2 linked regions of the Diceros bicornis minor genome follow. The protein of the gene in region 1 binds, or shares a complex with, the protein of each later gene. Links are inferred from orthologs where the notes say so. Each region holds a gene or a part of one and is shown on either strand. Other genes may lie near its edges.

Region 1 (16,042 bases):
CCAGCTGGAGCAGGTCCTGCATGGCCAGAGGTGATGGCTGGCCCTGGGTTGGGCAGAGGGCGCATCAGTCCATGCAGGTTTGGGGACACATGGTCAGGGTCTTTAGAGGGGCCTGGAGAGCTGGGAGAAGGGACTCACCAGGTGCGGCCGGCTGTGCCTCAGGAAACTCTTAATGTCCCCTCCAGACATCAGCTCCAGCAGAATTAAGCGAGGGGCAGCCCGGAGGCTGAGCCCCACACAGCGCACAATGTTCTGATGGCTGAACTTGCTGAGCGAGTGGTGCACATACCCCAACACCAGCAGGGAGAGAAACCATGCTCTAGGCTCCACAAAACCGGAGGGGACCTGTGTCCCTAGACTTGCTACCTCTCAGCCCCAGGGGGAAGAGAGGCTATTCCTGCAGGCAGTTCTTGGTGCCTCCCTCCCACTTTCCACCCCTGCCCCCGGCCCAGGTGCACCTGATGATGAGTGCCTCCATGAGGAAATCCAGCTCATCCTGACGAGAGCAAAGTTCTGGCAGGGTCTGGGAGGAAAAGAGCACAGAGCTCATGAGCTCCCCTGACTCTTCAGGGAGACAGGCTGACCCTAGTGCTGGCAATTGTTCCTCCCTCCATGGAGCCCTGCTCTCCTACCCACAGCCAGAAGTCCCACCCCCTCTCACCTTGATAGCCACCTGCAGGGGGCTGGGGTCCCCAGGAAGGCCGATTACCAGTCCCTCATAGACTTCTCCAAAGGCACCATGGCCCAGGGCTCTGCAGGGAGACAGGTTGGAAGGGAGTGGGTGGCTGGGCCCCAGGAAGGGTCCTAGAGGGTCTAGGGCCTCCTTTACCTCCCTTCCCCCTCATATGCCCAGCTGGCCCTAGCTGAGGATCTGAGCTCGCTCTACACCATGGCATATCCCCAAGTACAAGCCCTGCAGGGGCGATGTTGTCTAGCACAGACCCAGGGCAGAAGGGAGGGCAGGCATGGGGTCAGAGCCGGGGTGGGAGTCTGTGGTGAGGCCTTCCCTTGGGTCCCTGCAGACATCCTGGGGTGGAGGCAACCTTTGCTCCAAAGGAATCATGTTCTAGGGTCCCTACCATCCCAGAATTGGGGATGACAGCTGACCTTGGACAAGTTACTTTCCCTTTTGGAGCTTCTCTGGCCTCCATCTCCTCTACACAAGGAGTTTGGGCCAGATGCTCTCTAGGATCCATAATTCACCACAGCAGGGAGCAGGATGGGGGAGAGGGATTTAGAGTGCACAGGTTCTCAGAAGGAGGGGGAGGACTCACTTGATCAGAGTGACATTGGCTGGGGAAACCTCGGTAAGCCCTGGGGGCAGAAGCCAGGACTGGACCGGGCCAAGCCCCACCTGGCAGTAGTAGGGGTTTGGGGCTGTCTTGATGGTGGAGGTTCGAAGCTTGCTCAGCTCGACGAGCTCAGGGCCTGGCAGCCTTGTCCTCCACAGGCCCTGCCACTTCTGATGGTTCACTGAGGATGGGAGGGACAATGGCGTACTCTCTACCTGCCCATCAGACCTGCCCTGCCTTGCTTCCCCCTGACCAGGACTCTCTCCAGATGCCCATTAAGGTAAACGTTTTCCCCAGGTCTCCCCAGCTGCTTCTACTCTTAGAACCCCAGAAGAGTCCACCACTGCTCTTCTGGAAGTAGGGGTCTTGAAATCAGCCATGGCTGCCCCTGAGACCCCACAGAAGCCCATCACAGCTCAGTGGAGAGACAGGCAGCTTTGAATCAGCCATGCTTGCTGGACGCTCCATACCCAGAATCAGGATCCCACACACCATAAGGAAACTCAATGTCAAGGTCACCACCACAGCCACCATCAGAACCAGAGGGCCTGGGGGGGTGGGCAGGTCTAGGAAGAAAGAGAGACATCTCCAGTGGGAAGCTCCTCTCTATCCCTCCACCCCAAGTTTTACCCACGCCTCAAGACACAACTCAAGAGTTAACTTTTCCATGATGCTTTCCCCACCTATCCTGGACAAACACAACCTCTCCCTCCTGAGAACCCCTAACACACTTGACACCTCCCATGGCAATTGTCCCCATGAGATAGATCTAGCTCTAGATCCAGATATCTAGATATAGATGTAGACAGGCATCACCCCTCCCACACTAGACCATTAGCCTACATGCTCCTTGAAGGCAGAGCATGCACTGATGCATCTCCAGTCCCCCACCCAGCACCCAACACAGTGCCTGGCACATAGCAGGCATCTTTCCCCATGCCCTACTGCTCCTCCCAGCCCATGGCCCCAGGAGTCCAGACCCTGGACAAAGGCAGGACATACCCATGCAGGTGATGTTATCTGCAGCCAGCTCCATGCCCTCTGGGCACATGCATTCGGCCCACCAGACCTCCGCCTGCCACTGGCAGTCAGTGAGAAGGCAGTGACTGCAGTTGAAGTGCTGGCGGATCTCCACCTCACCATGGCTCTCTGTGACTATGAGTACAAGAACTGATGTTGCAGGGTGAGGGGGGAGCACACAGACTTTTTCCAGCTACATGGTTAATTCTAGCCCTGGACTTTGGAACAAGGAGCGGTGCCTGGCATTTAAGGGTGGGTGGGAGGGGGACTTTTGTCAAGCCTGCACACTCCCTCTTCAGGGATCCTTAAGCTCGCAGGTATTTAAAGAGAATTCATGGCAAGGAGATACTTGGCAAGTGCCCCAGAATGCTCCAAGCGACATCCAACTGACAGCCCTGGTCCCAAATGTTCCTGTGCTGTGCAAGAACAGGTAGTTCACAGTGCGGAGTTTGTGGCTCAGATGGGAGTGGGCTCAGGGATTGAGGAAAAGGGCTAGGCCAGGCTGAAAGGTCAGGGGCAGGGGCCAATACCTGCCAGAGGTTGCAGGTAGAGCTCATTGGTGGGGTGTATGTAGGACACTCCATCTTCCCCATCAGCCCAGAGGATGTCAGTCTCTGAGGCATCACCCCCTGGAAATTGAAAGTGATAGAAGGTTTGGCTACAAAATGCAGGGAGGAAGGGGCACACAGCTGCCTCACAGCTGGAAAACTGGTTTATGAACAGTGGGGAAGCTGGAGTCTCTTGGTGGAAACCCCAGTGTAGCTTCTCCACACTAGCATTACAATACAGGTGCTGCCAGCTCACAAGTGGGAGCCAAGCAGTCAGGGCGAGGGCTGGGGGTGCTATGAAATGGGAGAGGCCCAACCCACATATTCCATTTCTGTGATAATGTGTAGGAGATGATGTGTATAAAGTACTTATGAACAGCACAGCCCAGATAGACTCAAAGGCTCTGTTTCTTTACACTAGTGGTTTCCAAACTCTGGGGTGTATTAGAATCACCTAGAGGATTGATTAAAACACAGATGGTGGGACCCTCCCCTAGAGTTTCTGATTCAGTAGGTTGGAGGGCGGCTGAGAATTTGCATTTTTAACAACTTCTTAGGCGGTGCTGATGCTGACTCAGAGACCACATGAGAATTTCTTACTTAAACTATCCCTGCCTGTCTGCCTCCCTGCCCAGCTTGCCAACTCGCCCAGCTCTAAGTTCCTGGGACTGCTGCAGAACAAGGGGGGGACGTGTTGTGATGGAAGAGGTCCTGGATTTAAATAAAATCTAGAGAGTCCTGTCTGCACGTGTGATTTGCAACTTATGTGACCACCTTTTCTAAGAGCTCTCTACCTGCTCTGGCCTGGAGCGGGACTCAACGTCTTTCCCGCTAATCCTTTTGAGGGACTCCGGCCTGTTCTAAGGCTCTAACCTCACTTCACCCCAGGGCTGCCCAGCTGCCCTCCCCAACGATGCACCTACCCCGGTAGCCGCCGCCGCCTCCGCCCGCAGTGCAGGCCCCGCCGCCGCCCCCGAAGCCTCCGGCTGCGGCCCAACCCAGCGTAGCCCAGGCCTCTGCGCAGCCCCTGCCGCCCTCCGCCCCCTCCTGCAGGGAGCGGCCGGCCTGCGGAGAGGGGGCCCGCGACGTCCAGCCGCCCCCTCCACCTGCGGAGAAACGGCGGGACGGCTGGCAGCGGGGTGAGGAGCAGGCCCACCTCTCCCCGTGGCCCGCGCCCTCACCTGCCGCCCCGCTCCTCCCGCTGCTCCCGAGCGCCGCCGAGCGGTCCTCCAGTTTCTCAGAGGCGGCTTGAGCCCGGCCTCGGTCCCGCCGCCTCAGGTAGGCCCGACCGCCTCCTCCGGCCGCCACCAGCAGCGGCTCCAGCTCGCCGGCGCGCAGCTACCGGGCCAGCGGCAGTCACGTGAGGACCCGGCACTGGGCGAGGGCTCCCGCCACCCGGGCTGGAGTAAGGCAAGGGGCTCCCAGCCAGCCCCCGGGATCTGGGGACCCCCAGGCCGGTACGGAGAGCTCGTGTGTGCGCGCCCGCGGGGAGAGGTTTGGGACCCCGACGCTGAGCGCTGGGGGCGCGAGTGGCCGGAGCGGGGGCGAGCACGTACCCGAAAGACGTAGGTGGCGCCCCCGCCACCCCCGCCGCCTCCTGCCCAGCGCCGCGACCCTGGGACACCTTCGGTCCCATCGGTCGCCGCGTGCTCCTCAGCGGCCTGAGACTCTCCTAGGCAGACGAGCTGACTCTCCGGGCTCCCCTGCGGGCACCGCGCGCCCGAATCAGCGGACCCGGGACCCTCCCCTCGCGAGGCTGATGTCTGAACACCGGGGAGCGCGCCTCCCTCCACCCTGCCCTCGCCCTGCGGCGCCTCAGACGCCCCCTTCCCACAGGCTCCGCTTACTCCCGGACAGGCGTCCTCTCCCTGCTGCCCCACGAGGATGTAAAGCGGCTCCCCACCACGAAGGGAGCAGATGGCAGAGATGAAGACGCCATGCGCCCGCGACAGGTGGTTCTTGGCGCCTTTGCCGCCCGCGGCGCCGTAGGCGGAGATCCTGCGGAAAGCGGGCGCTGAGTCCACAGCCCTCGACCATCGGTCCTCAGGCCGCCCGTCTGGGGTAGAGGCTGGTGACAGAGGTGGCCCCAGAAGTTCTTATCTGAGGCACTTAGAGGCCGTAGTCGATTTTGAAGAGATGGAGAGACTAGGTTTGCACACCAAAAAATTACATTTTACACTTTTTTAAGGAGGCTTAATGGAGATAGGGGAGGCTCAAGCCATCCCTTGGCGCCGCCGCTGGTTTGGGGCCCTCTGCTTGGACAGGAACAGGCTCCGGGACGAGCTAACTCGGTGGCGACTATTTCGGCCCTTCCCCAGGTTCCGCTGGAAGTAGGGACAGTCAAGGTCGCCCAGTCCGCAGGTCGCTGCGGTATGCCCTAAGACGCAATGTGGTGCGCATGTGGCCTTCGTTCCTCTAACCGCAGAACCTCCGACTCCCAGCTCTCCACCCACCTCTCTCCCTGCTCCGCACTTACAGGTACTGGCCGGGGCCGGGCGACCGCCACAACTGCACTCCTCTCAAAGGCCCGGCGGCCCCCACTGTCACCACCACGCTGCTGCCAGCGTACGCCCCGTCGCACTGTGTTTGTGTGGGCCCGCGCGGACCACTGGCCCCGCAGGTGGAGAACCTCCAGGGCCCCTGGGTGCCTGGGAGCAGGGAGGGAGGAAAGGGTCATAGAGCACTTGTCTCCGTCCCCCCCCCCCGCCCCCCCCCCCCCCGGCCCAAAGGTCTGGGCGTGGTGAGCGGAGAAGGGAGAAGGAGCTCGGAGCTCACCTCGGGGAATTAGGGGAGAGGCTGGCTCCAAGCCGCTAAGCAGGGCGGTGACATTCGGGACCCGGGGCCTTGGAGCTGGCGGCGGCAGAAGCGAAGATGGCAGAAAAGGCGCCTGGGATCCTGAGCTGGAGCAGAAAATTGTGCCTGAAAGTTGACAGGGAGAGAGCAGCGTTGGGAGAGGGAGCAGGATGTTAATGGAGGACGGGAAATAAAGCGATAGATAACCTCTCGACAGCCAGCCCTTGCCTCTCGCGGCCACGCCCCTAACCCCACCTAGCCAGTGCACACCAGCGCTTGGAAGCCGGCCACAACCCAACTCTGGTCGCCGAGGCCCCGCGGGGTGCCCACTGATACCCCTGCAAGTTTCTCCCCTGGAGAGCCCTTCCCAGTGGATGACTTGGGGGCCGCACTGAGCTCAGTCCTGCAGGGCCCCCATCCTTTCCTTGACTTAGCGTGGTGGTTCCGCCCACGGGCGGTGCTGAGACCCCAGGGCCTGTCCCTCCTTCCCAAGCGTGATCCGGGGTCCTCGGATTCAGGCACTCACCGCGCTTCTCAGCATGCCCTCCCGGAACACGAACCTGGGAGCTTTGGCCGCGAGGGGTGGAGGCTCTGGAGGAGCCACTGGGACTCGGTCTGTCGCGACCGCCGTCCCTAACCCTAGGAAGGTGCTTCTGGCTGGACGGTTCGCTGACTGCCAGAAGGCACTTACCTGCGGCTCCGAGCCACAGCAGCAGCCAGCCCGGGCGGCCCATCCCCTGTTCAGCCCACTGCAGCTAGGGATGCATGCTCAGATCTTGCCACTTCGGTCCAGACTGCCGCTCATAGCAGTGTACAGCCGCTCTCTAGTCACCGCCAGGTCCTAAAGCCGGCCTGGCCACACCCACCTCAGACCCTGGGATGCCAAGGAGGGAAGGGAGGGGCGTGTGGGCAGCCAGGTCCCCATGCTTCCTGAACAGAGCTTGCAGCGCCTCCACCCAAGGGCTCTCTGTCTCCAGCCACTGGGTTTGCTGCTGGCTGCCCCAGGGAACGTAGTGTGTATGAGGCAGAGGAGGAAGCCACCACCACTTTTGAGGCAGAAGCGTGACAAAGTGGCACGCCATGCTCCAGACACCCTGCTGGGCTTCTAGGTCTCTCACATCAGGAGTAGGCGGGTGTGCGCTTCACTGGTGGTGGCGGCAGCGGTGGTGTGTGTGTGTGTGGGGGGGGTGATAACACATGGAAAGTACTTTTTAAACTGCCCCAAAGCATCATTACTTGCCATTACTTGTGTCTTTCAGTGCCTTTGTGACTGCCAGGCTGAACCTGCCGACACCCTCAGAAACATGGATCTCTGGGTTCACCTCATACAATTCTGTTGCCTGTGTTAACTGCACAACTTCTTACTGTGATGTGAAAGCCAAGTGAAGTCCTAGACCTGATGTCAGAAGCTCTGAATGCTAGTATTAGCATCCCTAGTCAACGGGTGATGGTGCACAGGTCACAACTGCTCGGAGACAATGTCCTCACCACCTGGAAAATCCTATGAAGAGAAACTCCTCTGTAACCCACAAGGCACCCTGCAACTGTGAGGGCCACTAGCTTTCAGGTGATTGTGTCTGGGGTCCTCATTCTTGTGCTCAAAATACTAATTTGAAGACTGAGGCCTGCGTTTACTATAAAACACTGGTAAAAAGAAGTTATAGTAGTTAGCTACTTGGTAAAGTCTCTGAGTATAAGTGCTAGGTGTAGACATAACAGTGATTTTGTAAAATCTCTGGTCCCCATGCCCTATTTATCTCTGTAGACACCCCACTTTGAGGTCACAGAATTTACTTTGCAAGGTCCCTGTCAGCCAATGGTTCTCAAAGTGTAGTTGGTCCTGGACAGCAGCATCACCTGGGAACTTGTTAGAAATGCAAATTCTTGGGTTTCAGCCTAAACATACTGATTTAGAAACACTCGTAGTAGAGCCCAGCAATCCATTTTAACACACTCTCCAGATGAGTTTTGTCACATGATAAGTTTGAGAACTATTGCTGTTTGCAGATATAGTAGTCGCTTAATAAAACCTATTGTATAGTTTTGTGTTCAGCAGCTCCATTTATGGGGAGTGGGTTCTCTCTACCTACTGACAGGGCACTCTGCACTCACCCTGATGACCTGTAAAAACAATGATGGTAAGTAATTCCACACAGCAAATGACACTGTAAGAAAGTTTATGTGTTAGAATTCAGACAAAACAACAACCTGGAAACTCTACCAAAAGAAAGATGAAGTGATGAACCAGAGTTTATGCTTTGACCCACTCCTCCCCAGCCTGTGCCTAACCACCAATAAAGTCCACAGTGGAAGGGGTGTTGTAGGACAGTGCTATAGACTGAATGTTTGTGTGCCCCCAAATTCATACAGTGACACCTAATCCCCAGTGTCAGGGCATCTGGAGGTGGGGCCTTCAGGAAGTGATTAGGTCAGGAGGGTTCCACTCTCATGGGTGGAATGGGATTAGCGCCCTTATAAAAACAGGCCCCCAGAGAGCTCCCATGTCCCTTCTGCCATGTGAGGGCTGTCGATGAACCAGGAAGTTGGCCCTTAGCAGACACCAAATCTGCCAGCACCTTAATCTTGGACTTCCCAGCCTCCAGAACCATGAGAAATAAATTTCTGTTGTTCATAAGCCACCCAGTCTATGGTACTGTTACCTAAACAATTAAGAGACAGCTACTGCACCAGTCTGATTTTTGGCTTCTTCAGGTCCCAGGACAGCAGCTGATAGAAACAGGGGACCACAAGAAGACAAGATGCTGACCTCATTAAGCACACCTATACTTCAAGTCAACTGCAGAGAGAGTCCTTCCAGAAGTGGCCCTGTTCTCAAGAGCACTGCCCTGGTCTGGCTCCACTCTAGAACTGGGACTCACATTTTTGTTATCCCAGATGTGGACTCAATTTTCACCTCCCACTCATGATTCCTCTCCCATCTCTCTCACAGTAGTCCTGCTTCTCCCCTGGGATAACCCATCCCTCAATACCAATCCTGAACTAACACGTCTGAAATCAGTCCAAATCAGATTCCCAAGAGATAAAAAATTTTTTTATTTCAATGCACAGCTATAGCATTCATATACCATGGCCTGGGGCTGGGGAGGAGGGCGGGGATACTAAATTTGCCTTGTCCCCAAGAGGGAGTTAAGTAGCTAAGTCACCCTTCACTCCCAGCACAGACCCTCAGAAGCCCCAGATCCTGAGCTCCAGATATCAGGATTTAAGGGTAGGGCTTACCCTGCTCCAGAAAAGTTCATACAGCCTGCTTCCAGGAAGGCAAGCCTTCTGCTCCTTTGTCTCCTGCCCACCCGTAGGACACAAAGCCCTTCTGTCTGGCCAGGTATCTGCTGGTGAACCCCAGGAGAATGCATCCATCTCTTCATCTGTAGTAGCTATACTAGATCTCTGATCCCCCATTTTGGAGCATCCCTGAGGTCAGTCTCTGGAGGTACTGCTGACGCAGAGCCGGCAACTGGGGATAGAGCTCAAAGCCCTCTAGGAGGGCAGAATTAGGAAGCTTATAGTGGAGGAGGTGCCGCCGGAGACCCTACAAAAAGGGAGGAAACTTCATGAATTGGGTAGTGAGATCCTGTTGAGATCTCTGTCCCTGAAGACCCTCTATTCTCCCCCCATCTAGGATGTGCCCCACCTACCTCATCTGCCAGCAGCCAAGTTTTCTGCAGCATGCTCCTGCGGGCAGCCTTTACCTCGTCCTAGAGGCAGAACAGGGACAGGTGGCACTGGGCCAAGGGCTGGTACCCATCACTGGCTTGCCTGGCCCTCACCTCCTCCCCAGAAGCAGCTCATCGCAGGCTCCCTTCCTCCTTATGGAGATGGGGATGTAACTTACTGAGCTCTTTGGGTCCTGGGAGAAGATGAAGCTGTTGACATGGGCCACAGCCACAACATAGAGCACGGGGCACCAGCGTGGACGGAGTGCACCAGTAACCAGGGCCCGGAAGTAGAGCTGAAGGAGGGCCAAGTTGTCTTCAGGAGGCCCTGTGTAGCACTCCAGGGACACAGGCAACTGTGACAGGGGAAATGAGACATGTTGGGTGAAGGTGGGAATGCGTATCACCCAAATGCAGGGTGGGTGGCTTATGGTCACATGAACCAAGTCACGAGGGCAGAGATCAGGTCCTAGACAGACACGTGTCCCTCTCTGCCACAAGGATCAAGGTGAAAGACTAAAGAGCTGGAAAGCAGGGGAAGCTGGGAAACTGAGAAGAAGCTGTGAATTTTTACTGCCTACCACTACTTGTTTAATCCATGTAAAATTAAAACTTTCAAAATGTCATCTTCAACTGCTCAATTATATTGTCAAATCTTTCAAAAGTTCATGTTCTTTGGACCACTAATTCTCTTTCTAAAAATTATTATTAATTCCATGCAAAAATGATTATGAGAGAAATAGAGATAAAGTTAATGTCCAATGGTGTTTATTACAGTGCTACTTAAAATAGCAAAAAATCAGAAACAACTTCCATGCCCACCAAGCGGTTCTGATAAAATAAATTGGGGGATACCTACACAATGGATTATTATGTAATAATAAAAAATGTTGATTTATTAGAATATTAATGATGTAGGGAATGCTTATTATGTAATGTTAAATGAAGAAAACATTATGCAGTGATCCCAATTTTATAAAAATATATATGCACATAAAAAAGACTAGAAAAAGACAAATCAAAATCAAAATGGTTACCACTGGGCAGTGGCATTACGGATAACTGGAATGTTCTTTTTAATTCTTAAAAATATTTTATATTTTTAGTTTTTTATATAAAATATACACTTATATTTTATATACAAATATCGTGTATTTATATATTAAAATATTTATATTTTAAGTTTACCAGAATAAGTTATAATGAAAATAAAAAAAATAAATCTTACAAAAAAATAGTAACTCTTTACAGCTTATAAGTTTAACTCCTTAGCCTGATATTTGAGGCCCTCTAAGGCTTTATTAGTCTTGTTTCCAACAAGTTCCCAAACTGAAATCTGTTCTAGACTCCTCCCTCCTCCCACCCTGTCATACTCCTTTCTGCCTCTGAGCTTTTGCTTATGCTGTTCCACTAGGTACATCCTGCCCTTCCTCCTCAACAATCCAAATTCTACGCAACCTGCAAAACCCAGATCAATCCCCACTTCTACAAAGCCTTCTCCTTATGGGAGGCCCACTTTGATCTTTTCCTTCTCTGAATCCTGACTAACACCTAGAATTTGAATGATTTAGAACTATGTTGGTTTTTTAGTACATCTCTTCTTATCTAGATTATAGCAGCTCAGGAGCAAGAGCCATGTTTGTTAATAATAACAAACATCCACTATATGCCAGATACCATGTTAAACCCTTTTCATGGGGGCCAGCCCCGCGACCTAGTGGTTAAGTTCCATGCACGCCACTTTGGCAGCCCAGGTTTGGGGGTTTGGATCCCGGGCGCGGACCTACACCACGTCCCTCCCCCATCTCTCCCCATGCTGTGGCAGCAACCCACATACAAAGTAGAGGAAGACTGGCACAGATGTTAGCTCTGGGCTAATCTTCCTCAGCACAAGAAAAAAAAAAAACTTTTCATGGATTCTCTTAATCTCCTCAAAGCCCCTCAGAGGTAAGATAAGGAACTGAGGTCCACCAAAGCTCCCCACAGCTTGGGACTGCCCCCAAGGTCCAGTGTGGGTGCCCATGGTAGGCTCTGCTGGGCTGAGAAAGTACCTGGGTCAGAGGCAGGCCCAGAGCTCGCAAGGCTCCCACGTGCTCCCCAAAGAGGGTGAGACGCAAGGTGACGCTGAACCGACGCTGCAGGGGAAGGAGTACCAGAGCCCCGAAGAGGTGGTCTCCAAAAGAGACAGACTCAAAGTGCTCCAGGAAGTTGGCATAGAGGTCAGGGAAAGACGTCAGACCAGGAAGTGGGCAATCCAAGTTGAGGTTTGGCAAGACTTCGGGCTGGCAGAGCTGGGCCAGGAGGGCTGCCACCAGATGTTGTATTGGGGTCTCCCGGAACAGTTCACTGTCCACCAGGAACACACACATGAGCCGTGCCAGGCGGGCAGCAGGAGGTACAGCCCAGAGGGCCTGGGGGCGCCAGCTCTCTAGGACTAGCACCCACTGCAGGGCCCGCATGGCTGTGCCCACAGTGTCAGCAGGAGGGAGCCCCGAGGGAGTGTCTGAGGCCCGGTGGTAGAGGTGAATCAATGGCAGGAAAGGCCAGTCAGTGGGCAGCAGTGGCGCCTTAGGCACAGGGAGCAGCAGGGCTGGGATTCGCTGTAGCTCCCCTCGATGCACGGCCTGGGAGGCTAGCAGACTGGCTCGGGCCAGTGAGCAGTGGGTCAGGTAGCAGCTGCGAATGCTGGGGAGGTCCTGGCAGGCCTGAGCTAGTTGAGGCCCTCGTCCACACCCAGGGTCCCTGCCACTCCCTAAGGACAGCCGGTCAGAGAAGTCAGCTGCCTCAGGACCCCCTGAAGCTCTTTCCCTGTAAAAGAATCCAAAAGCCAAAAATGAGGGCTGGAACCACAGCACCCAGAAGGCCATGCCAGCTCTCCAGGGCTTCCCAGCGGCTCCTAGGTCCAATCCTACTCCTCCCTGTTCCCCTAATAACCTGCCATGCAGTGTGTGTAGCACTTAAGAGGATGGACACTAGAGCCAGCTGCCTGGGTGCGAATTTATAGAACTTCTCTGTGCCTCAGTTTCTTCACAGTAAAATGGAGATGATAATGATAATACCTATTTCTTTTTTTTTTTTTTGTAATTTTTTTTTGTGAGATCAGCCCTATGCTAACATCTGCCAATCCTCCTCTTTTTTCTGACGAGGAAGACTGGTCCTGGGCTAACATCCGTGCCCATCTTCCTCTACTTTATATGGGACGCCGCCACAGCATGGCTTGCCTTGCCAAGCAGTGCGTCGGTGCGCGCCCGGGATCCGAACTGGCGAACCTCGGGCTGCCGCAGCAGAGCCCGTGCACTTAACTGCTTGCGCCACAGGGCTGGCCCCAATAATACCTATTTCATGGTACAGGTAAAATACTTAAAATATAGACAAATACTTAAGAGACTACCAGACAAAGAGTAAGCACTGAGTAACTGTTAGCTATTACATGTGTGTAGCTAGTTTATATACCACTTTTAGCCATATAGTCACACTGAAGTCTCATGATATTCTCTAGTGTGGTTATCCTCATCCTCGCTTCACTGATGAGGAAATGCAAGGTCAGACAGGTTAAGTGTAATCCATGGAAGAAAGAGAATGAAACCCAGGTCTCCTAGTTGCAAATTCAAGGCTGCTCTGTCAACAATCACAGCAGCCTCTCAAAGGGCTGAGTTGATGCCACCAACCCTGGACTTACGGGAGGAACTCTGGCCGGAATATACAGCTCAGCAGTAGCTCATGGGCGAGGTGCTCGCTTCCGGGCAGCAGCCGGCTCAGCAGGGCCAAGGCCACGCCATGATGGAGGACAGCATTTGTGGCCGGCTCTGGCTGGAGTGTTGCCTGTGGACAGAACAACCAGGAGGCAGCAGGGAGAGAGGGTGAGACGGGACAAAGCAAAAAGCAGTGAAGAAGAGGAGATAAGCAAAGGGATATATGCTGAAGGGCACAGAGCCTTGGCGTGTCTGGAGGAAAGCAGGAGCTGGCGGTCTGCCAGAAGCGGCACAGGTTCCAGAGAAGCAGGATGCAGCTAATGCAGGGCGGGGTGGGGAGGAACCGACACAGACAGACAGGGGTACCCACCGTTCTCTGAGCCAGAGTGAGTGCCAGGTACTGCAGGTGGTACTCATGGCGCAGGGCCCACGCAGAGAAGGGTGTGAGGTGTGGAGCAGCCACAGGAGCCACACATTGGAGGAAGTAGTTCTGGAGTCCTGGGGCAGCCAATATGGCGGCCAGCTGAGGAAAAGCAAGCTTGTTCAGATCTAGAAGGTGACTTTGATTCCTTCTGGGGCTCCCCAGATAGCTCCCTCCTCCCTAGCCAAACTCAGAGAAATTGCTACGGGCAGAAAAGGCCTCCCTTCCCAAGGGGCACCCTCCCCCTTTCTTTCTGACTCCTGCTATCTTGGTCCCCTGTCTGGCCCCTAACCAGGCGCCCACAGCTCACCTGGCCACATAGCCCCTTGTGGATCTGGGCCAGGGTGTTGAAAAGAGAGAGGAGGGCAGTGAGAAACGGGAAGGGGGAGGCTGAGCCAGCTAGACTGAGAGGGGGGCGGCCTCCTGTACAGCCCAGTGACACGAGGCTGGAGAGAGTTTCAGGGGCTGGAGCACAGGACAGCGGGTTGCAGAGAGGGGAGCAGCGCCTGAGGGCAAAACAGAGAAGTTGATGGGGGCTCTGGCCTGATGTGCGCCAGGCTGGAAAAGAGCTGCTTGGTCTGCGACCAAGGCCAGCAGGGGCTTGGCTCTGCAAACGAGTGCCCACATTCCTCAGAGCTCACCGTAACTGCTGCCTGCTAGGGATTCAGGTTTCCCTCAGGCTGAGGGGTTCCACTTGGGATGAATTAGGAAGCTAAACCCAGGAATTCCACAAGGAGAGAAACCGCCTCCTCACTCCCCTCCACAAAACCACACACACAGTACATACCCAAGGGAATCGCACAGGCTGCCCAGAGTGGGCTGGTTCAGCAAGGGCAGCAGCAGCTCCTCTGACAGGCCCTCCATGTCCTGAAGCCAGTCCCCTGGGCACAAGCTTGGCTGGAGGATCAAGGGGCTCACTGAGCTGATGGCCAAGGACACCTATTCTCCTAGACCCTGTGAACCCAGGCTAAGCCCATGATTCCAAGAGCCCCAAAGAGCCAGTGTTTGGAGGCTTCTGCCTTCTGACCCTTCTGGAGGGAGAGAAGACCCCGAGGCTGCTCCGGCACCCACTCTCTAGGGCTCCTAAGAGAGCATAAAGGCTCCAGGGAGACTGATCTGCTGTTTGGGGTCTCTGGTCCCCACCAACATGGCTCCTTGGAAGCTCCACTGGATATGGAGGTGGAAAGAGGAGGAAAGGTGGGAGGAAAAAGGTGGAGAGTAGGAAAAGGTGGGAATGGGGAGGCAGGAGTGGAGAGGTGGAGACAGAGGGAGAAAGAGGGTGGAGGGGTAAGATGGAGGCAGGACACCCAGGGCATGGTGGAAGGCAGACAGGCAACACTCACCTGCTGGCTCCAGGCCTGGTAGTAGGCGTCCAGGAAGAGCAGGCAGGCAGTGGGCACCGGGCCCAGGGCACTCCACATCTCAGGTCTGGGCAGCAACTTCAAGGTCTGTCTTAGACATGGCTCCACGAGAGGCTGGAGCCCAGACACCTGTGTCCAAGTGATCAAGGAAGAGGTGGCCGACAGACTGGCCTCAGCAGAGTCACTACAGGAGTGCCAAAAGGGGCTGCAGTGAGGATCTGGCACCTTAACCCCCCTTTAAGCTCTAGCAACCCTCTCCCTGTGGAGGAGCACTCCCACCTGTCCCAGAGCTCCTGGTAGGACATCCCTGCTGGCAGCTCAGGGCTGTAACCTACCTGCTGCGTTCAGGGGCAGTACTGCTGGCTGCCAGGGTCAGCTGAGTGAGGAGAGAGAGCAACGAGGCTATCCGCTGCATGGATAGGGGCTGAGGGGAGTGGGGGCTGAGCTCCTTGGGTACAGCCTGCAGGGCCTGCATCAGCACTGGGTATAGCTCCCTGGGGGAGAACAATTACTGCCTTCAGTGTATGAAGGGAGATGGACATGTCAGACACAAGGCAAGGCCCCGCCCAGGGATCTGCAGCCGGTTAAGGAGGAGCAGGAGGAAGAGGCCCAGGGCTGGGTACTCTTGGAAGGCTTCAAGAGGGAAGGAAGGCTGGGGGCTGAAGGGAAGGAGGTAGCATTGCAAAGCTTCCCCCCAAGAGGGAATGTAAATCTGATTTCGCCAAGACACAAATGCTGTTGTGCACAGAATGTGGTTAACCCTGTTTTGTTCCACTTTCCCCAGCTAGTCCTGATCCCTAAGCCTTCTTCATTCCTCCCAGAATCCCCTCTTCTTCATTCTCAGCCTCCTTCCAAGACTGAAACCTGAGCAAGGCTGAGTCACCAGGTTAGGCAAGAATGCAGAACCACGGGGGTCTACAAGGGAACCTACCCCCAGCTCTCCTCACCGGTAAAGGTCACCACCCTGGCCATAGGAGGCGGCCACAGCCCACAGACGGAAGGACTCGGTGCTCAGAGTCTCGGCTTCCTCCAGGGGCAAGGCCAGTTCCTGCGGAGGCTCAGCTATAAAGCGGCGCAGGCGGCTCCGGAGATCAAAGCTGCTCAACTGGGGGTGGGCAGAGAGTCTGGGGATCAGAGTTAGCTGGGGGTCCCAAGTTTCAAGCTTGAGGTTCTCTCACTACAGAGATTGGCTCAACTCAGCCAATGTCCCAGCCCTGTTCCAGGTCCCTCTTAGTGCCACA
Region 2 (15,254 bases), on another chromosome or scaffold:
GAAATACCAGGATGGCTTGGCAGAGTTGAGGCTGGGAAGCCTAGTCAAGGAAGCTCCTGCAGCTACAGAGGTTCAGGCAGCAGTTAGTAGAGCGGTGGCAGACAGGGCTGAGAGAGATGGTGAGAACATTAAAGGCTAATAGAAAACACGATGCAGGGACGGAAAATGAAATCTGGCATTTTGGGCAATTTACTGCTTTTCTGTTAATACTCTGTCCAGAAACTGAATCACCACTGCCACCTATTGGTACCTAAGCTTCCCATTTGCTGCCCTAACACAGAAAGAGTAACATTTTACAATATACCGGCAAGAATGATGCTGATTTTTCTCATTTTCTCTAATCAGCCTGTCCCAAAATATTTATTGAGATCTGTTCAAAGTACTGAGGGGAGTGAAAAATAAATGCTCTTTCATCAGGCTGGAAAAGTTTAAGATACAGTTTAGAAGATAAAATATGTAAAACACTTACCTGCTAATCTGTTTAAGTGCAATGTGAGGTCCCGGGAGAGAGAATTTGATGGTATTAATTTAGCTTGTTGCTGGCTGAAGGGGTGGTGGTATGTGGTCCATGCGAAAAGGACACATATGGAAGGCAAGCTTTAGATGTCGTCTAAAAGGGGGGTTCACAGGTCCAATGTACCCAAAAGAGTATTCACCTGAGTCTGGTGGTGTTTCTAATAAACAAGTTTGAGAGTTAATTGTCTCAAGGTTTAAGCCAGCTGCACTTTTCTGAGATGCTATGAGGCAAGTAGAAACGTCTCCTTTCTTTAGAGCAGACACCGTTTGCAGACGAAAGCCCTCTGTGGCCACTTCCTCAAAAGCAGAAGATCCAGATCTGTCCAAAAAAATAAAAAGGTTATTTACATCGCTAGCAGAGGACTGAAAATTGTGAGCAGTTAACTGAGTGTGCTGCAACAGAGAATCAAACGGCCGCTGGTCTCTGGCTGTCCTAGCATTTCTACCTCTGTAATTTATTTTAAAGGAGCCTAAAATTAAGTCTCACCTAGACATGGCAGTCACCTAAAGCAGGTGGGTGGGTGGGTTATTATTCTTGTTTTGCAATGAAGAGAAAGAGGCTCGGGGCGCGTTCAATGCTCCCTGAGGTCACGCAGCCGTGACGTGGTAGAGCTGGGGTTTGAATCCGGGTAGATTGATTTTGGAGCCCATTTTCTGGAACTACCTCATTAGACTATTTCCGATACTCTATTCTTACTTGAGTTAGCAGCAGCTAGTCAACAGGCATTAGTAAATTGCTTGTACCATGGGCTATGACCAATTTTTATTATTTTGAGCACAGTCCAACATATACTAACTTATTTCTCCTTCAAGATCAGAGTGCTGTCTTATAATTCATTTTGTCCTGTGTAGCATTTTACATATAAAAGTTTATTAAATACTTTAAAACTCCAATCTTTTACTTTTTAAATTATTCCCAATCACTTGGATGGTTTATATGAACTCAGCATAGGGCATAAACATTTAAAAGTTTGTAATGATTCCAACATTTGCCTAAGAGCATTACAATTTCTTTCTCTTTGTATCTGAGTATCTCAGCTCAAAAATATGAATAGAATGTACCATGATGCACTTGTTAGGGAATTATAAATGATATCTTTTTCTCCCACTTCATTTAAGTGTGCCATTTAGCTGATTCAGAATCATAAAAGTGATGTAAAGGTAGCTCAGACTAAACATGTAAAAGAGGAAGTGCACAAGCGTTTGTGCATTAAGATTTTTATAATTCTGATATAAGTTAGTAGTAGCTTTAAACGCCCCCATGTGTTCAGAATGGCCACGCTGTAGGGCGCCCTCACCCGGGTCGTGCGTGGCCAGAGCAGCTCCTCTGTGAAGCCCAGCTTGCACCCCCTTTGGCCTCAGCGTGCAGTCACCACGGAGAGTCGTGTAGTCAGATAGACTGGGTCATTCTCTTCTTGCCTGGCCTTGATTAACAGGGAAATGTGGACAAGAAGTCTTGCACAGAGAGAAAGCAATTTCCCAATCTCCTTACACCTAAACATCTTTTCTTTATTTCAACGCTGCACTGTAAAATGTTTTCTTTTTCCTGAGATGATAAGAAACACAGAATACTTACCACCAGCATATTCAACAAAAAGCCTCCTGTTACCTGTCTGCTCAGTGGAACTCATTGATTTTAAATGAGATTGGCTGTCACATTTATCACGGCTCACAGATTCTTTGTTTCATTTTCCTGACATGCAGTGTAGAGGTAAGGATTTAGGTTGTCGATTGTTTTACCATAGAGTCTTTCACTGTCCGTAATGCAACTCAACTCCAAAGCTTATTAATGTTCAAAATTTCTGAAACTTGTTTGTGGAAATTGCATGTTATCATAAAACTAGTTTGTTATAGGAAATGTTAGTTCATAAATATACCTATTACTCATTTAAGTTATAAATGACCTTACTGATTTTCTCCCTTCCTTTCCTTTTCTTTGTTCTACTGTATAATTGTATGAACCATATATATACACACACAATGAAAACTCTGAAAAGCTGGTAGCTAAAAAATGGAAAATTAAAAACATACTTGAAAAATAATTTTAAGAAAAGGGTTAGTAAAGTTAGAGTTAAACTGGAAACAGCCACATGAACTCATGAACTTTAAAACTTAGGTCGTTGCTACCCTGCTGACGTTCATCCCAACTGCCCTGTTTTGTCATGGGGAGCAATCTGATATTCATCTCCGCTGAAACCTCCTGGACGGTAGCCGATTCAATCCCTCTCCTTGAGAGAAAGGAATCAGGGGAATCATGATGTACCTGGACACCTTTGTCGGTGCTAGAAAGCAAGGATGCTTGATGCTGTCACAGATGTTTGTGGAGTGTCAGGGAGAAAGGAGACAGCGTATGAGGTTCCAGCTGACTGAACTGAGTTGTTTGAACATCAAAAAAATAAATAAATAATTTTGTGAAAATTATTATGAATTCTTAATGTTATTCAAAAGGAGTAGGCAAAAGCATGCACGATTCTTCAATCATATTTACAGAATATGTTGTATATTACTCAATTCAAACTACGTGTGTATTGAATGAAGTTTAGGTCGAACCAGACAGTGAAACATTATGTAACAATTTTTCAGCCTGGGGTGTGTTTGTGTATGTGTGTGTGTGTAAAGTTCCATTAATATAGGCAGAAGAAAATTGTGAAGGAAATTATTTTAAAAGTTTTGTAAGAGTTTTTTAAAAAAAAGGTAAGGGTCATATGTAATACAGCAAATTCTAGAGAGAAATGAGCTTGAAAGGTTTTGTTACTATAGGAAAGGGCCTGGTTCCATAAACACCATGATGTGGTTTAATTGTCTTAGATGTTCTCCCAGGTTGTGTTACAGTCCTGACCTGTTCCCTGAATTCAAAACTGAATTGACGTCCTGAATTTCTAACAGAAAAACCTGAATCAATAATCTCAGCTGACCTGAAACAGGACTTCTATTCACCTTGGTCAGGAAAAATAAGCTTGTTATCCCAGAAGGTGCAAAATATGTATAGAGATAATTTTTACAAAATTAAGTTTATATTATCAATAATTTTGGGAAAGTGTAGCAAGACGTTTTTCAATACTTGTGCCTTTTAACATTTTGTCTTTTAAAGATGTTTGAGAGCCCAAATAGCCAAAAAAACTTGAGAAAGAAGAACAAAACTAGAGGCATCACACTTCCTGATTTCAAACTATATTACAAAGCTATAGCAATCAAAACTGTATGATATTGGCATAAAAACAGACACATAGATTAATGGAACAGAATAGAGAGCCCACAGACAAATGGTCATTCATAATATATAGTCAATTAATTTATGACAAAGAAGCCAAGAATATGCAATGGATAAGACACATTGGGGAAGGATAGGTCCCTTCAATAAATAGTGTTGGGAAAACTAGACAGCCACATGCAAAAGAATGAAACTGGACCATTATCTTACACCATACACAAAAATTAACTCAAAATGGATTAAAGACTTGAATGTAAGACCTGACATAAAACTCCTGGAAGAAAAGATACCAAAAAAGCTCCTTAACATTGATCTTTGTACTGATTTTTAGACTTGACACTAAAAGGGAAGGCAACAAAAGCAAAAATAGACAAGTGGAACTACATTAAGCTAAAAAGCTTCTGCACAGCAAAGGAAACCATCAACAAAATGAAAAGGCAACCTACTGAATTGGAGAAAGTATTTGCAAATCATATATCTGATAAGAGGTTAATATCCAAAATATATAAAGAACTCACACAACTCAATAGCAAAAAACAAACAACCCTATTGAAAAATGGGCAAAGGAACTGAATAGACATTTTTACAAAGAAGACATACAAATGGCCAAATGGACATGAAAAGGTGCTCAACATCACTAATCATTAGGGAAATGCAAAGCACAACTACACTGAGATATCACCGCACATCCGTTAGCATGGCTATTATAAAAAAGACAAGAGAGAACAAGTGTCAGCAAGGATGTGGAGAAAAGGGAACCCCTGTGCACTGTTGGTGTGAATGTAAATTGGTGCAGCCACTATGGAAAACAGGACTACCATATGATCCACATGATCCAGCAATCTCACTTCCAGGAGTACAGTTATGCATCACTTAATGATGGGGATACTTTCTGAGAAATGCATCGTTAGGCAATTTCATCATTGTGCAACATCATAGAGCATACTTACACAATCTTAGATGGTATAGTCTACCACACACCTAGGCTATATGGTACTAATCTTATGAGACCACAGTTGTATATGTGGTCCATCGTTGACCAAAACGTCGTTATGTGAGGCATGACTGTATATTTGAAGAAAATGAAAACAGGATATTGAAGAGATATCTGCACTCCCATGTTCATTGCAGCATTATTCACAATAGCCAAGATATGAAAACATCCTAAGTGTCCATCAACAGATGAATAGATAAAGAAGACATGATATATATATATATATTTCACATATATATATATATATGTGAAATAAGCCACACAAAGACAAATACTGTATGATATCACTTATATGTGGAATTTTAAAAAAGTCAAACTCACAGAAACAGAGTAGAAAGTGGTTTTCAGGGGCTGAGGATGGGGGAAATAAGGCGAGGTTGGTAAAAGGGTATGGACTTTCAGCTATAAGATGAATAAGGTCTGAGGATCTAATGTATAACATGGTAACTATAGGTGATAACACTACTATATAATTGAAATTTGGTAAGAGAGTTGAACTGAAATGTTCTCACTCCCCTCAAAAGAAAATGTTTGAAAGAATCAAATATATTAAATTTGTGATTGTAATTTAAAATGTTGAATAGGGTTTGTTGGTGTTAAATATTTAGGGGATCTTAATATGTTCAGTTTATTAGCCATTTTATAAAGAAATGAAGATTTCAGTTTCAAGGCTTAAAAACTTGTTTTAGTACGTGCACTGTTAAATATTGAGTTATTTAAAACACTAGTGACTGTCTAAGTACCTTTTTCCACACAGCTATCCCTGCTTTATACATTAAAAACAAGTTAGCAACACAAAATGCTGACAAGGATGTGCAGAGCAGGAACTCTCATTCATTGCTGGCGGGAATACAAAATTGTACAGCCACTTTGCAAGACAACTTGGTGGTTTCTTACAAAACTACACACTCTTATCATACAATGCAGCAATTGCTCTCCATAGTATTTACTCAAAGGAACTGAAAACTCATGTCCACACAAAAACCTGGACACAGATGTTTACAGCAGCTTTATTCATAATTGCGAAAACTTGGAAGCAACCAAGATGTCCTTCTGTAGGTGAATGGATAAATAAACTGTGGTACATCCAGACAGTGGAATATTATTCAGTGCTAAAAAGAAAAGAAATTATCAAACCATAATAAGATCTGGAGAAAACTGAAATGTGTATTACTAAGGAAAGAAGCCAATCTGAAAAACTTACTGTATGATTCTGATGAAAATAATAAGAATAATATTAAGTTTTCACACATCAAGGTATACGGGGAAGCCATTCTGGTTTAAATCTGATTCGGCCTAAAACTTGTTTTTCCCACAGCAGCCTGACTTACGGCCCACCAAACATGCATTGTACATCTGCTTCAAACATTTTCCCAAAACAAAGAATGCACTCTTTAAAGATAAGAATGTAGTGTCTCCTCCCTCTGATGCCGATACCAGTACTTCTTTGAAGATAAGCTTTTCATCCCAGAGAACCATGGTCAAGTCGACCTGCTCTGTAATGTCAAATGTTGATATATGTTCTTTGTTCTGAAAGGGTATGTAACCTTGCTGTAAACCACACTTCTCTGGAGTGCTTTCTTCTCTGTGGAAGAGAGCACTTCTGGGCTAGTCTTTACATTAGGCTCAATAAATATCACTCTATCTTTCTTATCTATAGATTGGTTATTGATTATTAGTGTTGACAATTCCAACTAAATGACATTCTGGAAAAGGCAAAATGATTGAGACAGCAAAAAGATCAGTAGTTGCTAGGGGTTGGGCAGGGGAATGGGAGGGATAAATAGGTGGATCACAGAGGATTTTTAGGGCAGTGAAACTACTCCATGTAATACTATAATGGTAGATGCATTTGTCCAACCCATAGAATATACAACATTAAGAGTGAACCCTAACATAAACTGTGCGCTCTGGGTGATAATGACATATCAATGTAGGTTCATCTGTTGTAACAAATGTCCCACTCTGGTTGGGGATGTTGATAATGGAGGAGGCTATGGGTGTGTATGGGCGGGCAGGGGGTATATGGGAAATCTCTGTATCTTCCTCTCAATTTTGCTGTGAATCTAAAACTGCTCTAAAAATAAGTCTGTTAAAAAAATAAGTTAGCATATGTTACTGAGATTGTATCTCCATCAACACTTAAAGTTGCCTCTGAATTAGTTAGCAAGAGGTAGAGCAAGGAGCATTAAGTTGGGCCAGTAAGACGAGGAGTCAAGGATAAACAATGAACAAAACAAAGAAAAAAAGCAAAGAGTAAATTAATTATAAGCAACCTGTTTGTTTATGGTAAAACCATTATGTTGGGGAGCTACATCCTTGAAGCTAGATGCTTCACAAAGATGAGGATCTTGTCTATTTTACTCACAGTTGTAGCTCCAGTGTTTTCTACTGTGCCTGGCCTACAGTTTGCATTCAGATAATTTTTGTTGAATGAATAAAAGTGGGTTTCAAGGACCACTTGCTTCAGAACTACCTGAGTCCTTTAAAATGCAGATTCATTGGGCATTTCCCATGTGGGGCTGAAATCCCTGGGAATATCAGAATTTGCATTCTTCACAGACACGTTACATTGCAGTCTGAGAACTACTAAAAGTCAGTCTCTTCACTTTGTCAGAGAGAAAATTGAAGCTCACTAGCGCGCTCAAGGTCACATAGCTAATGACTGAACAGAGAGCAGAGCTCCAAGCGTCAGGCTCTGAAAACCTCTTCAGATCCTTCACTCCCTCTAGTTTCAATATGGAGAAAGCAGGGAGACAACCCAGCTTCCAGGGTTATTTTTTTTCCTTATAGTTGATTTGGAGTCCATTTCTCATTGTCATTTCTGTGTCACTTCTTCTACCAGCAATATTTCACACTGTGTTTTTCCCATAGTTTATCATAGGCGTCCCTAACTCATTATGTTTCTAATTAAAATTAATTTTTGAAATACTTGCCAATGGCCGTGGACTCCTAATGTGTTCTTATTTCACTTGAATAGAGCTGTGAGAAGGAACTTACTCCACCTAACTAGGGCCTTCTGAGACTCTTAAAAGAGTCTTAAAATACATTAAAATGTATTTTTTCTGAGATGGCTTTTCTGCGTCTCCTACGATGGAAGCCATTCTCACATGACATTGAGTGTGCTTTGGAAATACTTGTTTCTTATGCTTCCTTGAGTGATTCGAAGCCGCAGTCTCGCCTGTATGACGACTTCCCCGAGTTTCATTCATAAGCGTGATGTTTATAGGGCTCTTGTAAAGCCTGCTATGTTTCCCCAATTTCCCGGACATGTTGGAAATACCAAATCTAGAAAAACTATTTGACCGAGTTGGGATTATTTTTCAGGGTTTGTGACTGACAAGATCTCTTTGTAGGGTAATTTAGGGCAATGCCTAAAGCGGTTATTCCTTCCCTCTCTCTTTCACCTATTTGCCGCTTTGCATCTGAAAAGATAATTCGCAATTGATTAGCGAGCAATTTAAACATTTCTCAACATACTTAACATAAAACAATAAAGCGGGCTAATCAAATGAGTAAAATCACAGTACTTTACAGAGCAACGGTTTGATCAGAGATGTCCACCTTTATTTTAATCAGGACAAGTGGACTTAATCTCATTTTTCTATCGTTAGCATGGACAAAACATTTGCAGAGTTCTTTATCTTAAAAAACCTAGCCGTCTGCGGTCTTTGGCGTGCTGGTGGACCGTGGTGATTTCACCTGTGGGGACACCACACCGGTGACTCCGGGGGGACTCCAATCGGGGCCCGAGGAGCTGGGCGTCCGCGGTGGGCGGTGCAGAGCGCAGACCCGGGACCCGCTCCGCCCCCGCCCCAGGGGAGGCGGCCCCGCGCCGGGCGGAGCCCCCGCCGGGCAGGTTGGGCCCCGGGAGCGCGGCGGGGGCGGCGGGAGGGACCGCTCAGGGCGGGAGGGCTCTGGGCGGGAGAAAGTGGACTCCGCGCCTTTCGGCCTCCAGAATCGCGGTCTCCGCCCCTCAGGCCGAGTCCCGGCGCTGCTTTCCTCGTCCGGGCCCAGAGCTGCGGGTTCTGTTGACCGCGTAGACGGGGCGGGCGCGGGAGACAGAGCCCCGAGAGAACCGGCGGCGCCGCGGCGGGTCCTCACCCGGCCCTCCCAGGGACGGAGCGGGGGACGCGAGCCGGGGGGCCGGGGCGAGGGAGCCCCGAGGACCAGGCTGAGCCCGGGCTCCGGTCCGTCGGGGGAGGCAGCGCGGACTCCGGAGGGTCTCGGGCGCTGGGACTCGCCTTGTCCCCGGGGCCACCCCCGCGGTCCCCACCTGCCGCCCCGCCTCGCGTCCCCGCCCCGCGACCCCGAGAGAGCAGAGATCGGCCTGCGCGGGCCAAGTCCCAGCGCCGCTCCCGCCCGAACCCCAAGGGGACACGGCGAGGACCCCGGCGGCCGGTAGCGCGCGCCCAGCCCCGCCGCCCCTCTCCTGGGCGGACCTCCACTCCCGGCCCCGGCGGCCGCCCGCCCGGAGCCCCCTGCCCTGTCCTCGGGCGCGCGGACATGCGGCCGGCCAAGCCAGGCGCCCCGCTGCCCGCGCTGCTCCTGCTCGCGCTGGCGTTGTCCCCGCAGGACACCCAGGGGAGGCCCCGGGGTCGCAGGGGAGCCCGCGTCGCCAACGAGGAACCCAAGCTTTTCCTCCCCGCGGCTGGGGCCGGCCCGGCGTCCAGCGCCTCCCGGAGCGCAGGTAAGAAGTCCCCTCCCGGCCGGTCCTTCGCGCTGAGCCTGGGTCTTAGGGGATTCCTCTTGGAGCCGGGAAAGGCACTGGCTTTGGGAAGCCTGAACTAAACACAGCAGAGGAGACCCTCTCTGCAGATAACCGGCTCTCAGGGAAGGAGGTACTGAGTTGATCAGATTGACCGTTGTGGAGACTTAAGTAACAAAGGAACCAGCTTGATATGGCCCTTCCCGGGTGTGAGAGGCCTTTTACGTAGGCTGATAGGGCAGCCAGAAGACCTGGGTTTCAGTCCCAGCTGACGAAGTACCTGTCAGCGCTTCATTCTGCGTCTTCCTAGGTTTTGGGAATTAAATGCGATCGTTGCCGTCACACCTGAACGTGCTCGGGATGCTCCTTTCTTTCCGCTCCAAGCTGGCCACAGGGACTGGTGGAGGAACGCGCGAATTTCACCAAGAATTTCAGCATGCCGCGGTGGCTTCTCGCTGACCTTTCCTAGGCCAGGTTAGCAGGCCCCAGACGCTGCCTGCAGCTCGCAAAGCAGCTCCGGGCGCTCAGCTTCCTGGCTGCTTAGATGCCCAAGGAGGGCTGAGAGGAGAAATGAGGAGGGAGAGAAAATAGCCAGAATAGTGGGTCATGAGACACCCCAAGCTAGAGAAGTGCAGTAAATGAGGGGAAACCGGAAAAGCCCAGGGCACAAGGAGGTCACAGCGGGCGCAGAGGAGTGCAGGGCGCCACGGCAGGAAGGAAGGTAGAGAGGAGAGAAGAGAGAAGCTACTCAAAAGTGTTTCTGTTTAGAGCCTGTGAAACTACAGGGCAAGGTGGAGCTGCCGGCTAGGCTGGGAGCAGAAGGGCCCCTCCTCAGGGCCGCCCGGCTTGCTGAGAGCGAGGTCCCAGCTCCCTGCCTGGGGAAGCCCAGCAGCTGTCACCTCATAACGCCTTTGCATCACGCTTCACTTGTAAGAAAGCAAAGAGGGATTATTTAATGTCATTTTTCTTTCATAATAGTTATGATATAAGTATATACTGATTCACTCCACAAATCTTCACTGAGGAGCTGTTGCATGCCAGTCCTCGTGCAGAGGGCTGAGGTCGCAGGGAGGAGCAGGCAGCCAGGTGTCTGTGCTCTCTGAGTTTGCATTCTGGGTGTGGAGGGAGGGGAAGGCTGGCGCACAGGGAAACCTAAAGAGGCGGGCAGCGACAGGAGCGAAGGGGGTGATGGGGAGGGCCTCAAAGTTGAGGTGGGTTGTTCCTGTGTCCAGGACCTGGGCAGAGCTTTCCAGGGTGACCTGCCAGCGCAGGGCTTTCAGGGAGGGAGGTGGAGCAGGATGGTGACCACAGCAGTGATGCAGTGATGATGCCACACCCTTCATGTACTTGGACTTGAAATTATTGTTAGCCCAAATATTTATCTCAGAGAATGCAGTGTCACTTTGGAAAGTAAAAGAGTGGGAGAAACTCTCAAACTGCAGAAACATTTATGGTTACACGTTAATTCAGATCTGTTTCATTTAAGTTTTTAACAGATCTTTTCTCTTTGGTTAAAAACAGTGAAGACTTACTGAAGTGAGTTACAAAGGAGAAAACAGAATATTTTATTAAAAGTTAAAATAAAAGTGGCCACCGTCTGAAGTTTTAAAAAACAATGCAGCCTGAGAGAAAGTGATCTGTGGGTCACCCTCCGAGTCCATTGTTTCTGTAGCTGTTTATGATGGTCTCCTCTTTTGATGACTGTACTTTATTAACGTGAGCAGAAAGGGTGGCTCATTACATCTATATCTGAGTCTGTGAATGGAACACCTGGGTGTGGATCAGGGACCAACAAGGACATGAGAATAGAGGACAACCTATCTGGATGTTCTCACAGGACACTCTCAGGTGGCGATGGGGGTCATAGCTCATTCAGAAGGAAACATCTCCCAGGTTCTGGAGGCCCAGGACTCTCGTCCCCTCCAGATGTGTCTGGAGTCCTGCCCCTTTAATTCTGCAGCATAGTAAGCACCGTCACCCAGACCTAAGGTGCATGCTCTGGGCTCTGAAATCCTTGCTGCATGTGTAGTTGTGTGCTCTCCCTTTTCTGCAGGTTAGGCAGCCTCCCTAAATATGGATGTGAGGCACCAGGTAGGGGGACCATTCCAGGTAGAGGGAGCAGTAAGGCTGAAAGCCTGTGTCCAGACAGTGAGCAGGAGGATACCATTAGGATTGTGGGGTGGCGTGGAAGGAAATGTGAGTGTTAGGTTCCCAGGTGCACTTGGGATTCACTGTCTTTGGCTTTCCCTCCCCCCCACAGCCTGCCCATTGTTCATGCATTTATTCATCTAGCCATTCAACACACATTTGAGGTCCCTCTGATGGCCTGGGAATATGAAGTTAACAGATATTGTTGGCTCTGGTTCTCCAGGAGCTCAGTTTGGTTAAGAAATCCTGCCTCAAATGTTCTAGAATCTGATTCTTCCTTTTTTCTGTCCTTCCCATCACCCCAGTTCAAGCCCTCATGACAGTGTGACATTGACCTTCTAGATTGTCTCCACAGCTCCATTAGTGCCCCCTGCCAGAGTCTGCCTTAATGAGATAAGAATTAGAAGGTGTGTGTTTTCATGGCTGTTACTCCTCTCTTCCCTTGTCTCTAACCATCACATCAGCAGGATGGAGCAAAGAATCCTACCGCAAACTCTGCCCAAAGAAAGGGAGCATTGAAGCACTTGCCACTGAAGTAAAGACAAGATCACACAACTGAGAAATGGGCAGTGGTGGGAGCACAGGAGATGTTTGGAGGAATTTGGGACAGAAAAGGAGTTGGTGTGAAATGTGGGGAGATAGAAGTATAAGGGAGACTTTTAGAAAGTTTGGTGTATATTATGGCCCCTCTGCCTTTTCAAGAGATTTCAGTAAACCTTTACATTATACTGCAGACTTTCTGGAATCAAATTTGTGTTGTGTGTGTTTTTTTTAAAATATAAAACCTCTCTGGCATGGGGCTTAAGGCGAGAACAGGAAGGTCATTTTGATGAGGTTGTTCCGAACAATCGCAGAAGAACATTCTTCGTAAGTAGTGCTGGCCTGTCACAGTGACTTCCTCCCCAGTCACAGATCGGCAGTGGCTTCTCCTAATTTTCTGAGCAAGCCCTAACTTCTCTTGAAGACAGGACATTCAGTCCCCTGTGGCCTGCCCCGTCTGCCTTCCTGTGGCTCTCAGTGCACCACAGTAAGTGCCCCTGTTCCAGTCACAGGCATTCGGCCTGCTCCTTCCAGATGCCTCTGCGCTTCTGCTGTCTCCTGCAGTGTGCTTCTCTCATCTTTGCCTGTCAGAATCCCACCTATCCTTCTGGGCCATCTTCCTTTGTGATGTCTTTATAGTTATTTCCGTGTTCACAAATATCTAAATCTTAAATTCACTTTGCAAATGTCCCCACAGTTCTGATACAACTTAAAAAAAACGTAAAACTTAAAAAAATATACTGAATACTGCTGGGACTTGCATGATAGTGGGATTCTATGTGTATGACCCAAATTCCCTCTGTTGCAAGTCTGTTACTATTATATCTGCCCTCTTAGCCAGTCCTGCCTGGTGAGTAACAATTTCTTCTACATGATAATAAAAATAATTTTTCCCTGCTTTGCATATCACCCAGAAGGGGGTACAGATGGGTACTTTTTAGTACTCTATTTGCAGAGTTACTTGAAGCTATTTGATTTACTGAAAACTGTTGGCATGGGAAGAGGTCAAGATGGAAAGGTTGTGTATGAGATTTTGCCAAGTATATGTGGCGAGTGCTATCACCAGAAGGACACATGCCATGAGCATCCAGAGCTAACTTACATGGATGCACTTCTGCGCATTCAGAGTGTTTCTGAGTAGTAACTGTTGTCTGTTTGCAGGAGCTCCTTCATCTAGCTGGTAAGTAGAGAAGTTCTGTGCAGGAAGTTGACAGAGTCACACACGATGGCTTCTTATTCCCTGCAATGACACAATCCTAGGAGACTACTTTTCAATCATATCTTGGCTAGGAAAACTGGATTTAAAAAGTTCCTTTTTAATGTTAATTTTTTTCCTTTTATTTTTTATCACTTTTATTGCTGGAAATGAGCTCTGGAGCATTTAAGAGTAGATTTCTAAAATCTTTGTTGCTGTGTAGAAAGACAAAAACATGTGGCCACGCGACTGGTGCAGAGTCCAGATGTTTCCCTCTTGTATCTACTATTGTAGGAAACGTCATAGAAGAGGGAAGTGGCGTGTTCTGGAGTTTAGGCATTTGTTAGAACTTTAATTCTATATCTGTCAACAGCAGCTATCAGGAGATAGTAGCTAAAATATTTATATCATGTTTGAAAATGTGTAGTATTTTACATATTAATAACATTAAAATACTATTAAAAATGTGATTTACTTGGAATTATTGTGAGCCTTTTTGCTTAGATTATCTCATTCTGTAATGATTTCTTTCTCCTTTAAACACAGACAGCATTTTTCTCCTCCTACAACACTCCTCATATTGTAACTCATGTACGTTTGGTATCATATTGTAACTTGTGTACGTTCAATATTATATTATCATCAAATATTATTATATTTGTCTGAATGTAAGCCTCTTTAAGTTGGGGACTGAGAATTACTCAGTTTTAATACCCTGTAGCCTGCCAAAGTTACTGTATAAAGTTGACACTTAGGAAGAATTTTTTCTTTAGAACCGAAATTTTGAAAATTTGAGTTTTTTTAAAAATTTAACTTTAAAAGTAAAAGAACTTGATTTTTTATTTGCCCCCAAAGCCAAATTAGACCTATCCTCTTACGATTTAATCTGTGCCATTCTGAGTCCTGAGCTAATTTCTTAGCATTTATAACCAAGTTTAGACAATACAACATTTGCTGCCCTTAATACCTTCTGGAGCAATGGTTCTTAAAATGAGGCTCTTGGGGCCGTATGCCTCAGAATCAACTGAGAGGCCAGTTTCAGATGTAATTGTTGCACTGCATCCTGGATATCTTAAACCTCTGAGTATAGCCCCTGCGTGTGCATCCACAAGCTCTTTGAGGATTCTTGTGTACTATTGAGTTTTTGGAACCACTAGAGATTTTTAATTGCGGAGGGGAGGAGAAAAGTGGTTTATCAGAATCTTCTGGAAAATTTCTTTGAGAGAGACAACTCCTGACTTCCCTCCACAACCATGGCCATGCTTCTATTTCCTCGGTAGCTCACTGCTCCCTCTCTCATCCCCACAGGCACCCACAGCTCTATAGGTACATTTTCCAGTGTGTTTTGAAAGATAGTCTATGAAAAAAGGCTTCCTTGGTCTACCAGCTTCAGGAACATGACCATTAAGTCCCTCGTTAGAGAAGCACTATACAAGAACTGCAGAGACCTGTGGGACAGGAAACTTGATGTAAACCGGTATTAGCCAAACTAACCTTCCTTCCCTCCTTTCTCCCTCCCTCCTTTCCTTTCTCTCCTTTCTCCCTCCCTCCTCTCCTTCCTTCCTTCCTTCTTTCCTTCCTTCTTTCCTCCCTCCCTCCCTTCCCCCTCCCTCCCTCCTTCCCTTCCTTTCTTCCTTCCTCCTTCCTTCCTCCCTCCTTCTCTCTCTTTTTAAAATCTGTCATTTACTTCCATCTCATAGAAGTAGTTTTGAAGGAGTCCACTTTGGAAAACATTGTTTTGGCTGCTGCAGGCAGCCCAGCTCTACCTCAGCACCTGGGGGATGCTAGATAGACAAGGCCAGCCAGAATAGAGTACCAGGTGAAGAAGGAAAGGCCACCTGGGGAGGGCAGAGCAGCGAGGGGGGGGCATTATGGGTGACTCATCAGGCTGCTAGTGGTGTAAGAAGTGTGACTACAATAAAAGGCATACACTTGTTCAGTG

The links.
Region 2: the proteins of LTK (region 1) and ALKAL1 are in contact, whole or in part, in a crystal structure (PDB 7NX0), measured with the Homo sapiens proteins. The link is inferred for Diceros bicornis minor from reciprocal best matches to the Homo sapiens genes LTK and ALKAL1. Residues at the interface, in NP_002335.2 of Homo sapiens: Tyr124, His140, Phe143, Ala250, Ser251, Pro252, Glu253, Leu359, Phe360, Leu361, Gln362, Leu364, Ala365, Val366, Glu368, Glu372, Glu374, Arg376; in NP_997296.1 of Homo sapiens: His93, Arg96, Leu97, Asn100, Thr101, Arg102, Glu103, Arg112, Arg115, Leu116, Arg119, Leu120, Ser123.

The regions. Positions count from the first base shown.
Region 1 is NC_080744.1:39,197,203-39,213,244, forward strand, and holds the start of LTK (leukocyte tyrosine kinase receptor), read right to left. Parts: upstream 8,615-16,042; 5' UTR 6,388-8,614; coding exon 6,345-6,387; intron 5,780-6,344; coding exon 5,636-5,779; intron 5,509-5,635; coding exon 5,337-5,508; intron 4,859-5,336; coding exon 4,708-4,858; intron 4,564-4,707; coding exon 4,417-4,563; intron 4,199-4,416; coding exon 4,042-4,198; intron 3,967-4,041; coding exon 3,784-3,966; intron 2,942-3,783; coding exon 2,843-2,941; intron 2,448-2,842; coding exon 2,295-2,447; intron 1,859-2,294; coding exon 1,763-1,858; intron 1,474-1,762; coding exon 1,275-1,473; intron 753-1,274; coding exon 662-752; intron 524-661; coding exon 459-523; intron 269-458; coding exon 139-268; intron 44-138; coding exon 1-43. Other genes in the region: RPAP1 (RNA polymerase II-associated protein 1), read right to left, coding at 9,054-9,203, 9,310-9,369, 9,507-9,683, 11,379-12,135, 13,007-13,149, 13,390-13,542, 13,751-13,946, 14,228-14,337 and 3 more. UniProt on the Homo sapiens protein: Receptor with a tyrosine-protein kinase activity. Following activation by ALKAL1 or ALKAL2 ligands at the cell surface, transduces an extracellular signal into an intracellular response.
Region 2 is NC_080772.1:6,561,190-6,576,443, reverse strand, and holds the start of ALKAL1 (ALK and LTK ligand 1), read left to right. Parts: upstream 1-8,772; 5' UTR 8,773-9,227; coding exon 9,228-9,411; intron 9,412-15,254. UniProt on the Homo sapiens protein: Cytokine that acts as a physiological ligand for receptor tyrosine kinase LTK, leading to its activation. Monomeric ALKAL1 binds to LTK, leading to LTK homodimerization and activation.